Linked DNA regions of Nothobranchius furzeri. The protein of the gene in region 3 purifies or fractionates together with the protein of the main gene of each other region. This does not show direct contact. Links are inferred from orthologs where the notes say so. Each region holds a gene or a part of one and is shown on either strand. Other genes may lie near its edges.

Region 1 (3,990 bases), on a different chromosome or scaffold from region 3:
AATGGCACCAGAACACACCAGCTCCTGTTGGCCCATAAGCAAACACGCTGGCGTTTTGTCCTTTCAGTATATTTGGTAGAATCGACTTCACTGATGAGAGGAAAACCTCTTCCTGTGTTGTGTCCTCTCCGTGGAAAACATCGAAGCTGGAACAAAAACCAAACCATGTTTAGAGTCAAATGTCGTGAGGAGAGGAGGACACTTGGGAGAGTGATACTGACTGGTATTTCACAGTTTCTGTTGCATTCCTCCAGTTGACTATCTCCAGGTTCTGGGAGTCCAGGCCTCTGACACACGGACCCTCGTGTTTATCATCTTGTTTGCTCATGTAAGGCCGCAGACGAACCGCTACCCGAACCCGGGAGGTCTTCTTGTTTCCACCATCTGCTACCAACACACGCTGCGCCATCTTCACACAAACAAAGGCCTGGATAACGAAAAAGCCAGAGTGATGTTCATCCACTTTATCAAACTCTATGCCACGCGAATATTTAGTATAATACACACCAGTAAATGCATGAACAGAGCATAAATGGAGTATTTGAAGGTAAGCTCTAGGTTTTCATCATTGCGTCACGAGAAGCAAACACACGAAAGGAGGTAATGTTGTTTCCAAACTAATGTTTCCTCGAAATCTGCCACTCCGCTTTTTTAAGTTTATTGGGGAAAGCTTACCGTTAAAAACGTCTTCCAAAAAACGCGTTTTTATCGTCCAAACATTCCCAGCTTCTCCTTTTAACAATGGCGATGGGCCAAAACTTCTAACTGAAAAAATTTTAAACGAAAAGACTGAGACCGGAAATGGGTTTTAACCAATCAGAGCTCGCGTGAACGCTGGCGCCTTTCAGCGATCTCATTAAGCGCTAAATAATTCATAAAACATAATTGTAGTTTTGTTGTATTTAATAGTATATTTTAAAAACTAGTATATTGAGTAAAAGTTAAATTAAAGAGGTTTTACTTTTCCCCTCCAAACAATACGAGTCGTTTAGCCACGGCACAGCTAACAGGAAGTTACGTTTAGCGTAGATTTCCACTTCATCTCCTTTCACATTTTAGACAGTAGAAGCCCTGGAATGACTTAGCCATACGCATTTAAATCAGCGGGATTTGGAGCCCGGTTAAACGCGACAACATCGTCAAGCAACCTATTCAGCCAAAATGGCGCTATGTTTATGTCCATGTTGAATCTTTTAATGCACTTAGCTAGCCTCATGGAGAGCTATGATGATCCCATCACTTGGGAATTACTTTAAAATCAAATTTTAACGTGACCAACGCTGACTCACGACAAATCGGTAATAACAATGAAGGATTTCCTTTATTTCTGCGGTGCGGTTTGACGTTAGCTAGCCCAGTAGGAATAAAACAAATAAACCTAAATATTCTCAAATTGCTTATTACGCTTTAGTAACAGGCGTAACTTGACTCGTTACCCGTGTAAATAATAACTGCCATTATCTCCCATTGCTAATTATTATCAAACATGCTGCTGTTTCGCAGATCCTATTAAAGTTGTCCAGCAGCAGGTAGGATGCAGACTGAAGTCACCAACTCTTCTCTTAGAGAGGGTGTTGAGGCTCTAGGTGTGAATGATCCAGAGAAATCTGCTGCAGACCAGGAGGAAGGCGGCCTAGAGAAGCAACAGGACTCAGAGATGACAGCTGTCACAGAGGAGAAAGACACCACTGCAAAGGATGACACAGGTAACTCCCTTAAAGGATAAATAACTTTGTAAACTCTTGGAGTCAGAAATCCGTCTGATTAGCACCAGATGTGGCCAAAAGCAATCACTCAAAGGCTGTATCAGTAAATAACAAGCCACATAAAGAATAGGGCTGCTCAATTGTGAATAATAATCAGAAATATTGTGTTTTTGGTCAATATTTAATTCCCAAGTATTTAACTAGATTACTTCTTCAGTTAGGACACACTTGTATTTATCATTTGCAGTTATAAAAAAAATACACCAAAAAAAGTCAAATGATGCCACAAACACACTTGACACACCAGACCTTGTAAAATGATCTGTGTTCACTTTACTCAAATTCTCCTTACTTCTATGTTTTGAACGAACGAACTTTTGAAATAAATACTCAAAACCATAACTCGTAATAGCAGAGCAATCATGTGATGCTTAAAATAGCTAGAGTTCACATTTTAAGACAAGTGCAGATACAGGATTACACCAGCAGGTGAAGGAGTGACCAATAAAACTTATGAGGGTTTAAGTATCTGAATTTACCACAGTAGAATTAATCTAGGACACCATGAATAGGAAAATAATTAAACTCGTGTTTTGTAACATTTAGTTGTTAAAACACAGACACCAGCTAAATAAACTAATTTCTTCTGAGTCAGTCTCATGAATAAAACATGTCCAGATATCCAAGCAGGAAGTAAGTGGGCATCAAAGTGTCTTTTTTAAATACCAACATATTACACAGGCTTTGGAAGATGCAGAAGTGTACTTCATTAGTAAAGAAGAACAAAATGAGAGTGCTTGCAACATAAAATAAGACAAACATAAATAACTTCTTATTACATTGTGTCAAAAAATACATTTGTGTACTTTTCTGTCTTCTCAGATGAGAACACAGAGGTGGTGGAAGGAGGGACACAAGAGAATGAACCTCAGGGGGAAGCAGGAGGGGATGCTGAAGAGGGGAAGCTGGCTGCCGGAGCAGACGACGAGTGGGAGCTTCCCTACAGCGACGAGGAAATGGAGGACCCCAAAAACTGGATGCCTGCTCCTCCTGAGATCAAAAGACTTTATGATATCCTCGCTAAAGGGGAGATGCTGGAATTGAACTTTGTGCCCCTTCCTAGAAGGCCTCCCACACCTGAACGCACCCCTTCACCCGAGAGAGACGAAGAGGAGGAGGCAGCAAAGGAAAGGGAGAGGCTGGAAAGGGAATGCAAGTCAGTAGCTCTCCTTTCTTTTTCTTATCTTCTGTTATTTGGATAAATTTGATTTACCACTCCCCCCCCACCCCCCCACCCCCAGGCCTCCGTCTCCAACAGAGTTTGACTTTGATGAGGAGCAACTTCATTCAACTCCTAAAAACTCCTTCATAAACAGACGCAGAACACCAGGTTTGATGATTTATTTTTTTATATCCTGATTTCCTGGGTTCAGCGAGGAAAGCCAAACTGTTTCCTCCCTGCATTCCAGGCTCGTCAGCTCGCTCCTCTGTGAAGAGAGAAGCTCGTCTGGACAAAGTGCTGTCGGACATGAAGCGCCACCGCAAAATTGAGGAGCAAATCAGGCGCACGGGCAGAGATCTATTCAAGACCGAGAAGAAGGTGGAGGAGGCCCTTTCCCCAAACAGCCAGAAGGAGCGGGAGAAGGAGAGGGAGCGAGACAGCAACCCAGACACCATCTTCTCCCCGAGACAGAGGAGATACTGAAGTATTCAGTCCCAGAAGCAATCAAGAGCTTCTCAGGGCTCTCGCAAGACTTTCATTTTCTAATGTTCACGTTTTGTATGTTTTTTGTATGATGGCAATAAAGCTTTTAACTTTTAACACTGTTAACTGGGTCATGATAACTAATTAAAAAGAAGTTGGGTTTAAAATCTAGAACCTCAGTTTTCATGTTAAGGTGTACATATAAGAAGGCAAATCATAATCTGAATCTAAATAACAGAAAAGGACTAAGTTCTTCCTTAGTGATCAACTAACCCTAACCCCAACTTGAATGCAGCTGTGCTCAGTTTTCTTTAAGCTCCTGGGACCCAAACATGTATTTGGTGTGATTTAAAAAAAAAGCATGTAGCTATTACAGATTAGTCAACTGTAATTAACAGAAACAAAATTACGAAAATTAAAACTAAATAAAAATTTTGTCAAATATCCTAAAAAAAAGGAAAGACAATTTTTTAAGTCAATATCAAGTGTCTGTAAATAATAACAAAAAGGTCTAAGTAGAAGTAGCAGAATAAAAAGGTAAGGTGCAAGGAGCCAATTTCCATAAATGTGGGCCCTAGA
Region 2 (4,052 bases), on a different chromosome or scaffold from region 3:
AAAAATGATCAAACTACTACAGTCATCAAAATCTCACAGCAAACTGCCATTTAAATAAAAATCCACTTAGCTTTCTGTGAGTTCACCTCACATCTGTTTGCTCGAGTCACACGGTACAAGGTTTTCAAAGTAAAAGCCCACCCAGCAGTGGCACTAAAGTTAGCTGCAAATGAAATAATGTAATTGCTGAACTTATGAGAGGAATGTTTGAGAGTATTTTCTCTATCACTGTTTAGTCAGAATTTCAGAGGTAAATTATTGAGCAATAAATGAAATCATAAACCAATAATGTAAAATGTACAAAAAAATGCATAGTGTGCAGTACATGCATTAACAGTCAACTTATTTTTTAATGTTTTTTGTCAATTATTCCAAATATTACCAAGGATGTTGCTAGATGACAAGTGAAGAGACTTGCTTTGTCTTTGTCTAACTGTCCTTCCCTTGCTTGTAGTGTGGCATGTAACTGTGATTATGTTGTCTTGCACAGCTGCTGGAGTTTTACCTTCTTTTTGAGAACATGTTAGGTGATAACATACCCAGACAGAGATGTTTAACAGGAATGTGATTTCCACATCTTGGTTTACTACTTTTACTGAGATGGTTTTATTGATTTTAAAGTATTTCTTATATTGTTACTGTTCTTTTTGCATTCTTAATATAGTTTTAGTGGTTTATTTGCTGCTTTTCTTGAAAATCATTAGAATTATTTGAGAGAGGGTCACCCTTGTTCTCTGAATGGGAATTAAAACAGTTTAATGTAAAATCAATTTTTACATCACTGTTTGACTGTAGATGTTTTTATTCCTAAAATCTATATTCAGCCTGGAACTCTTCGGGATGGGTGTCATGTGTTTTTGGTGCAATTAAGCGGAATAATAGAAGTAAAATCGAACACGTTTTTCTCTCACACTAAATTGATCAAATAGGTTTCTAATCTTAGAGTCTTGTCTTGTGTACTGTTAATGCACACATTTGCACACCTGATGTTTGATTATTTTGTGTTTATAATTGAAGGAAAAATCGGTTTTGTTCAAATTTGTGAAATAAAAATGTTTGCACATACCCACATAAGCAGTGTTCCGCAATTTGTCATCATACTTGCATTTAATACAATTTGAAAAATAGATAAAACAGCTCAGTTTATTCAGGACTATTTAGGAAATAGTCATGAACTTGTTAACCTAAGGAGTGCGTTTACCTTTTGAGCTTTTATTTTGAAAAAGAAAACCGGAAACAACCTTTGTTAGTTAGCTTGCTTATGACATTCATCCTATTTTGTTAGCCTGTCTAGCAAACAGATGTCGACTAGTTGAACGTATTCGTATATGGATATGTTTGGTAAGGTCTTTGTATATTCCTTTCTCCTTGTTTTTATTAACGAAAACTGTTGAAAGGCAAATTAAACCAGCTACGGTTCGCTGCTTGGATTCATTCGCGTCTGGAGACTGACATCTAGCTACATAGCTAACTGATGCTAACAGGATTTTTCGGAAAACCAATAGGAACCACTTTCAATTTCACTCTTTCTGTGTGCTGCTAAAACGTATACATTTGAAATGTAAGTGTTAATTGCACCACGATGAAAATGCACAATTTGGTAAGAAACAGAGTTTACTTGTGGATTTTGTTTGAATGTTAGCTTACTGCGTTAAGGCCCACACTCCTGCAGCGCCGGTGACTGAAACCAGGATGATCATCATTATAAAAATATATTATATTATTACTAACAAGTTTAACTCCCATATCAAGAAATCTCACAACTCTGAAAGTAATGTGACTACCAATCAGAGCACCTCTGCTTAATAAGCTAATCACCGGTCAGTGATGTCACCTCCAGGTGTCTGCTTCATTGAGTTACAAACTCATTTATTTGCTTCTTTTTCTGGTTTGCAAATAGAAATTATGACTTTTTTTGCTTGTCTTTGTTTTACTCGAATCGAATGTTATATAGAATACTCTTCAGCCTCTAGCAACTTACTATAACTGTTGTTTCTTGGCTGTGTTCAGGGTTTCTAAAACAATTAAAGAGCAAGTCACCCCCTACAAGAAACTTATTTCACTCCCTCTTCATGTTTGAAAAATGCAACAAATGCTGTTGCCTAGCAGACCGAGAGGGCGGAGCCACTAACAAATACACACACACACACACACAGGCTCACAACGGCACTGTGACATCATAATGTACCAGTTTACATCATAGCATACCTCTTAGCCAATAGCGGTGGCAGATTTAAATTCAAATGCAGTGCAGAGTTTTTACCTGACAACGGCGCAACATTGACAGTTTTAGGCAGAATATTTCAATTTTAACTAAGATGCACTGAAGTACCAAATTATTGACTACACGTGTCTGCAGCACATTTAGACACACATTTATATAGTTTATCAGCAAAAAAAAAAGTAGATTTGGGGGTGACTTGCTCTTTAAGAACTGTCGAAGGTCTCAATATATTAATGGGAAATTAAAAATATTCTAAGATGAGCTGTTATGTTCCCAAAACTTTCCATTTTAAATGCATTCTACGAAATTGTAGAAAATTGGGAACCCATAGCGTAAGCAGCTTTTTACTTTAAGCTGAAACAGTTTATAGAAAAAGCATAATTTATCAAATAATTATTAAATTAATCAATACCATAGACTTTTCTGGGCAGTACATACATTTGAGATAGGCAAAGTATGGAATAATAGTATTTGATAAGAAAATGCTGTAATCTAAAGTTTGAATAATCTGTAATTACAGCATAAAACGGTTTAGACACCACTCCTAACAAGGAAGGGAGGATAGCTGCTGAACATTCCTCATCCCAGAAGACTGCGTACATGGAGCCTGATGGTGAATCGGACAGAGACTCTGGTGTTGGAGAAGATTCTGGAGAAGACGCAGATAGCTCTGAGAAATGCAACGTAACAGAAGAAGTTGGACCCATGGAGCAAGAAGACACTAGAGAAAATGGAGAGGAGGACTTCACAGTCTTTGTTGCCTTTCAAGGAAACATGGATGATGAGAACTTCACTCAAAAACTAGAAACTATCCTCAATGGGATACCTGATGTTCTTAATTTGGGTTTGTGTTTATTTTTATTCAATTTGTTTTGTTACTTTGTTTTATTTGAGCTCATTTACGTGTATTTGATTCAAAAATATATATCTTGCACTGACCTGTTAAGCATTTTCCAACCAACACTAACTAAATACACTTTATTTTAGGCCCAGAACGGCTGCAGCCTAAACATGTTGAGCCGTGGAACAGTGTCCGTGTCACATTCAACATTCCCCGGGATGCTGCTGAGCGACTCCGGTTGTTGGCCCAAAACAACCAGCAGCAGCTCAGAGACCTGGGTATTCTCTCTGTGCAAATAGAAGGTAATAGCTCAGTCCAAAAAGAATTCATGCAGATCTCCTCCTTTTGTCTTCATAAAAATTCATTTATGCAATGATTTAATCTTGGTGTTCAGGAGAGGGAGCAATTAATGTGGCTGTGGGACCAAACAGAGGACAAGAAGTCAGAGTGAATGGACCAATTGGTGCACCTGGTCAGATGAGAATGGATGGTGGCTTTCCAGGTCAGCCTGGCCCAGGTAAGTTTTTCCAAAAGTTTAACAAAAAAATTAACAGTACTCTAGTCTACTAGTAGAGATTTTGGCTTTACTGTCCAAACGTGATCACACATGAATGCTGTCGAAAGCAGCAGCAGCTTCAGCGCAGAGCAAGTTGATGAGAAGACGAAGACATAATTTATACTGGCCTGGTTTAGGTTTAAGGAGTCTGATGCTGAGCAGAAAAACATCCTCTGTAAAATATTCTGGGCGACAGTGAAGTCATATCAACGCTTGTTAACGCTAACGCTAATTCCCTTATATGCCATTAGCTTCTAACATATTATTAACACGCAGGTTTCCAAACTTTCATCACAGTAAGCTTGTATTTTATTTTAAAATTTCTTCATCTTTATTTGGTTCATGTGAATTTTTGTGTTGCATTGTTTCTAACAATGTTTAACATAAATATTACTTGATATTTTGTATTTTTTTAATTAGTTTTGAACATT
Region 3 (4,190 bases):
ACAGCTGGTGAAAATGATGTGTGAAAAAAATCAGATGGAGTAACACACAATTAAGCAAATGTGATACAATTATACTAAATACATGTATATCAAATGCAGTATTTTTCACTTTACTTCTCCCTTCTCGTCAGGGTGCTCTAGTGCCCCCTATGGACGAGCCGCCACTGCAAGTGTCAGACTCAGTTTTCCTCTCCACTGTCACTACGTGCTTGCTTAGTATGAGGGGCAGCTGTAAATGCCTTGCAATCAGCTGGGTTTCCTCAGATAGAAAACCTTTGACTAATTGGGATAATAACTTGAACTCAATGCACTGTTTACTTTGTAGGTTCAATTGGAATGTTTGCTTTGTTAATTGTTTTGGGATGATGACTTGTGTTGTTAATTGGTGCTTTATAAATAAACAGAATTGAATGTTGATGTGCTGGTGACTGACCACAGTTGTCAGATGGCAAGGTGGTTCAAGAGCCATCTTGTACCACAGGGTACAACACACTTCTTTGATGTCTGTGTGTGAACAGTAAATATTGTAAATCAAATGTTACCTGTTTAGGAGTGGGCATGGGTATATGTGGGTCTGTGGTGGCATCAGCTCTCTATCCTGGACTGCTCCGTGTCTGATGGCAACCATGATTAGGAGGCAAAATGGAAGTCACTAGTGAATCATGTTCATAAATATGATCCACCAGAATTTCCAGTTTACCTCCATCCTTCATCAGGACAAAACAGGAATGAACTGCGGCTTTTCCTACCCACAGCAGTCAAGCTGGAGAGAGCAGAGATTCCAACAGAATTAAAGCAGAACACAGCATACTCATACTCATTAGATGCTTTCCACTCCATTCTGAAATTGGCTCCCTAACATACAGAGTTCTCATACATAGGCACAAGTACCATGCAAGTGTAGTTCAGCTGGAATTTAATGTTTATTTTAAGTATAATCAAAGACAAGTATATATATATATATATATATATATATATATATATATATATATATTACAAACTTATTGTTACATTTTATTTAGAGAAAACCTAACTATTCATTACTAAGGGCCAATAAATGGCACTTCACTATGCATCTTTGAACACCTGGAAATCATAACAGCTAACAGATCGAAAGTGACCTCTAAACCCATACATGAGTAAAAACCAAAACGGGTATTTATCCTAGGTTTAAACCGCGCAGTCTTGTTTGGATAAACATGTCCTCTTCTTTCCATCATGTAGTGAAACTATTTGCATACCATACTATTATTCACCTTCAGTGCGTTTAACAAAAGACGTTTAAAGTTTTTACTTTATGCAACACACCACATGGGAGAGGGTCAGATTTGACCCCTCCTCTTCCGCGTGAGATCAGAACGCTGCGGTCCAAGGCGCGCGCGCGCGCTCAGAGATTTGGCGCTGGAGTCAGTATTCTGCAAGCCAGCAGCACTCACAAACTTCCCTCTCCCAGACTCTCCCAGTTCACTGACGCGCTCCCCGTCCGTTCATGGACAGTCATGTCTGAAGAGGAATGGAAGGTTCCGGAGGAACTTTTTAAAGATGTCAAATTCTACGTGGTCGGAGACATTGACCAGAAGGTATGCAGGTCCTGTTAGCTTCCTTTCAGCAGCTATGTTGGTAGCATGCTAACTTGCTAAACGGATTCCATCTAGATGAAGCTAACCATCATGCTAACGCGACAACATGCTACAGTGGGATCGCTCCTCTTTGTGTTGTCAGTTGTGTGACGTTTTCCTTCAGGTTCGTTGATCGCTCATTTTGAGCTGATCGTACTCTGCGCTGCACTTTAGCTCAGCCTTTAGACTGAGGAGAGACTCCAGCCTAGCTGCTAGCTTACTGTCTACAGTGTGGGGGTGGTGGAGCTGAGGAACAAATGTCTGTGTCTGCATACAGGTTGTTTATCTGCTCAATGCTTCATGGAAACGTTTCACGTTAGCTTGTAACTGTCAACAATGTTTATACTCAACGTATAATGGCTAGTGTCTGGGTGTTGACTATAGCGCATGCGTCACCGCTGTTTTACGCGCTGGTGCCAATCTCCTGCACTCTGAGGCCTCCCACGCTCTGAAGCCCCGACAGCGCTAGGTCTTTTCCGGCTAACGCTTCTATTCGTTCCACGCATGCGCGAAAGAAAATAAACATCGGCTTACAATTTGATCACACACACACACACACACACACACACACACACACACACACACACACACACACACACACACACACACACACACACACACACACACAATTTGTTATATCAGTTCTTATTGTGGCCAAACCCAGATTTATTTCAGTGATCAGATTATTTATGTTATTATCAAATAATAACATAATAAGCCTGCAGATCGTATTCCGTTGACGGGTTGGGGTTAATAAACTCTTATTTTGAAAGGTTCTGGGTCACTTTGTGGAAACGTACCTAAAATCTTTCCAGCTATGATTTATAATAAATTATAGCAATATTTTCATTAAATAATTGCAGCGTGTTTAGGTCAGAAACACCTAGTACAGTAATACCTGTTTTAGTGAACCTGTTTTCACAGCATTCAGGTTTGGGTACACACTACTGAGGGTTAATAGTAAACAGTCTGAGCACACACCAAACCAGGCACCTATAAAACCCGTCACATCATTTTATTTTCCCAAATTTTCTGTTTTATAGTTTTATAAAATCAACATTTTTCATAAATCTGTGTCAGTTTACCCTACCAGAATAATAACCTGAACGCCATGGTAACAGTCCAATAGAAAATTGTTAATCCAAATTGTAGACATTATCTACATATTGATTTGCTATAAGTTTTGTTCTTTGCTTTAATCTCAGTTAACTGTAATGTCCCCTCCTGTCTCCCTACTGTTCCTACCCGCCCCTATCCTGTCGCATCACACATGAGAAGATTTTTCTGTCATTTGTTTTAATGACTTGGTTTTCGCTGGTGTTCCTTCTATCTTTTCAGAGACAATCATTGTTTGTTTTGGTAAATAAATGAACTTTTTGTTTTAAAGAAGAAAGGCCTGACAGCTTCCTTGATGTAACAAAATTGTTGTCAGCTATCTTTAGTAGCCAATAAGAAATGCTAATTAGTGTCAAACTGATTATTTAGTGAATTAAGTTTTGTAAGTAGAAAGTCAAAATTAAAATCCAACCTAGATAAAACCCCTGTAATGGTTGTGTGGACTAAAACACACACATGTGGTGACCCTGTGATGCTTCTATCCTCCTGATGCTGCAGGTGGTGCAGCTGCTGAAAGCAGGAAAGGGGAAGGAAGTGTCCTACAATGCCCTGGCTACTCACATCATAGCTGAGGATGGAGATAACCCCGAGGTGGGCGAGTCAAGAGAGGTGTTTGACCTGCCTGTTGTCAAGGTAACAATGTTGTCAGTGTCACAGCATGTTTCCACCTCCCAAAGAAAGCAGCAATAAAAGAGATTGTAATGATTTAAATTACATGTTATTTAATGAGCCGTAAGGCGTAGGATTCCATAGGAAATATGAAATCAACCTTATGGATCTGTGAGGTTATTTAAACCAGAAGATTGGTACTTTTTATTGCAGGGATTAGATAACAGCTTCGTATTCACTCAGAGACAACAGAAGAGAGAGAGTCAAGTTCAAAAGTCTAAAAATTTATTACTAAACAGATTAAACTAGACTGACTTTAACTAAATGTATGGTGTAACTAAGGTGAATGAGACGGAGAATGGTGTAGTGTGGATTGTTGTTCAGAACCAGCAAATACAAAGAAGCGATTAGTTCTGATGAGAACCGAAGGTGATGTTTTCGCGTTAAGCTTTGGTTAGGAGGTTCATAAACACATTCGACGCCATTTGTCGGTCTACGTACCCTTAAGGTTGGTTTATGCTTGACACGTCCGCGAGGTCCGCACGGCTCCGCGCGGAAAAGTTGCGTCATTTTAACAACCACGCCCCTCCACCGCGTCTCCGCACGGCCCAAGATTTCCGCAACGCGCACCTCGGAAAATTTCTAACCACGCGAACGGTTGGACGCGGAAAAACATGGCGGACCGGCAAGATCTAGTATGGCAGAGGTTGGTAAATACAGACATTTGTATGCTTCAGCTCTCAGAGATCACCGTGATCAACATGTTGTTAATCATTCTTGGAGAGAAATAGCTCGCACTGCCGGAAAAGACGAGGACGCTGTTAAAAATGCTGGAATGCCATGTTG

The links.
Region 1: the proteins of paxip1 (region 3) and pagr1 purify together in Homo sapiens (affinity purification with mass spectrometry; 6 studies listed by BioGRID and IntAct, with this or other methods). This does not show direct contact. The link is inferred for Nothobranchius furzeri from reciprocal best matches to the Homo sapiens genes PAXIP1 and PAGR1.
Region 2: the proteins of paxip1 (region 3) and ncoa6 purify together in Homo sapiens (co-immunoprecipitation; 6 studies listed by BioGRID and IntAct, with this or other methods). This does not show direct contact. The link is inferred for Nothobranchius furzeri from reciprocal best matches to the Homo sapiens genes PAXIP1 and NCOA6.

The regions. Positions count from the first base shown.
Region 1 is NC_091756.1:34,661,702-34,665,691, reverse strand, and holds pagr1 (PAXIP1-associated glutamate-rich protein 1), read left to right. Parts: upstream 1-1,150; 5' UTR 1,151-1,298; intron 1,299-1,503; 5' UTR 1,504-1,534; coding exon 1,535-1,706; intron 1,707-2,588; coding exon 2,589-2,922; intron 2,923-3,007; coding exon 3,008-3,096; intron 3,097-3,175; coding exon 3,176-3,411; 3' UTR 3,412-3,528; downstream 3,529-3,990. Other genes in the region: kinesin-like protein KIF22, read right to left, coding at 19-146, 222-409. UniProt on the Homo sapiens protein: Its association with the histone methyltransferase MLL2/MLL3 complex is suggesting a role in epigenetic transcriptional activation. However, in association with PAXIP1/PTIP is proposed to function at least in part independently of the MLL2/MLL3 complex.
Region 2 is NC_091755.1:60,747,852-60,751,903, forward strand, and holds the start of ncoa6 (nuclear receptor coactivator 6), read left to right. Parts: upstream 1-1,212; 5' UTR 1,213-1,341; intron 1,342-2,744; 5' UTR 2,745-2,824; coding exon 2,825-3,068; intron 3,069-3,211; coding exon 3,212-3,367; intron 3,368-3,459; coding exon 3,460-3,582; intron 3,583-4,052. UniProt on the Homo sapiens protein: Nuclear receptor coactivator that directly binds nuclear receptors and stimulates the transcriptional activities in a hormone-dependent fashion. Coactivates expression in an agonist- and AF2-dependent manner.
Region 3 is NC_091751.1:66,100,636-66,104,825, forward strand, and holds the start of paxip1 (PAX-interacting protein 1), read left to right. Parts: upstream 1-1,354; 5' UTR 1,355-1,499; coding exon 1,500-1,580; intron 1,581-3,233; coding exon 3,234-3,368; intron 3,369-4,190.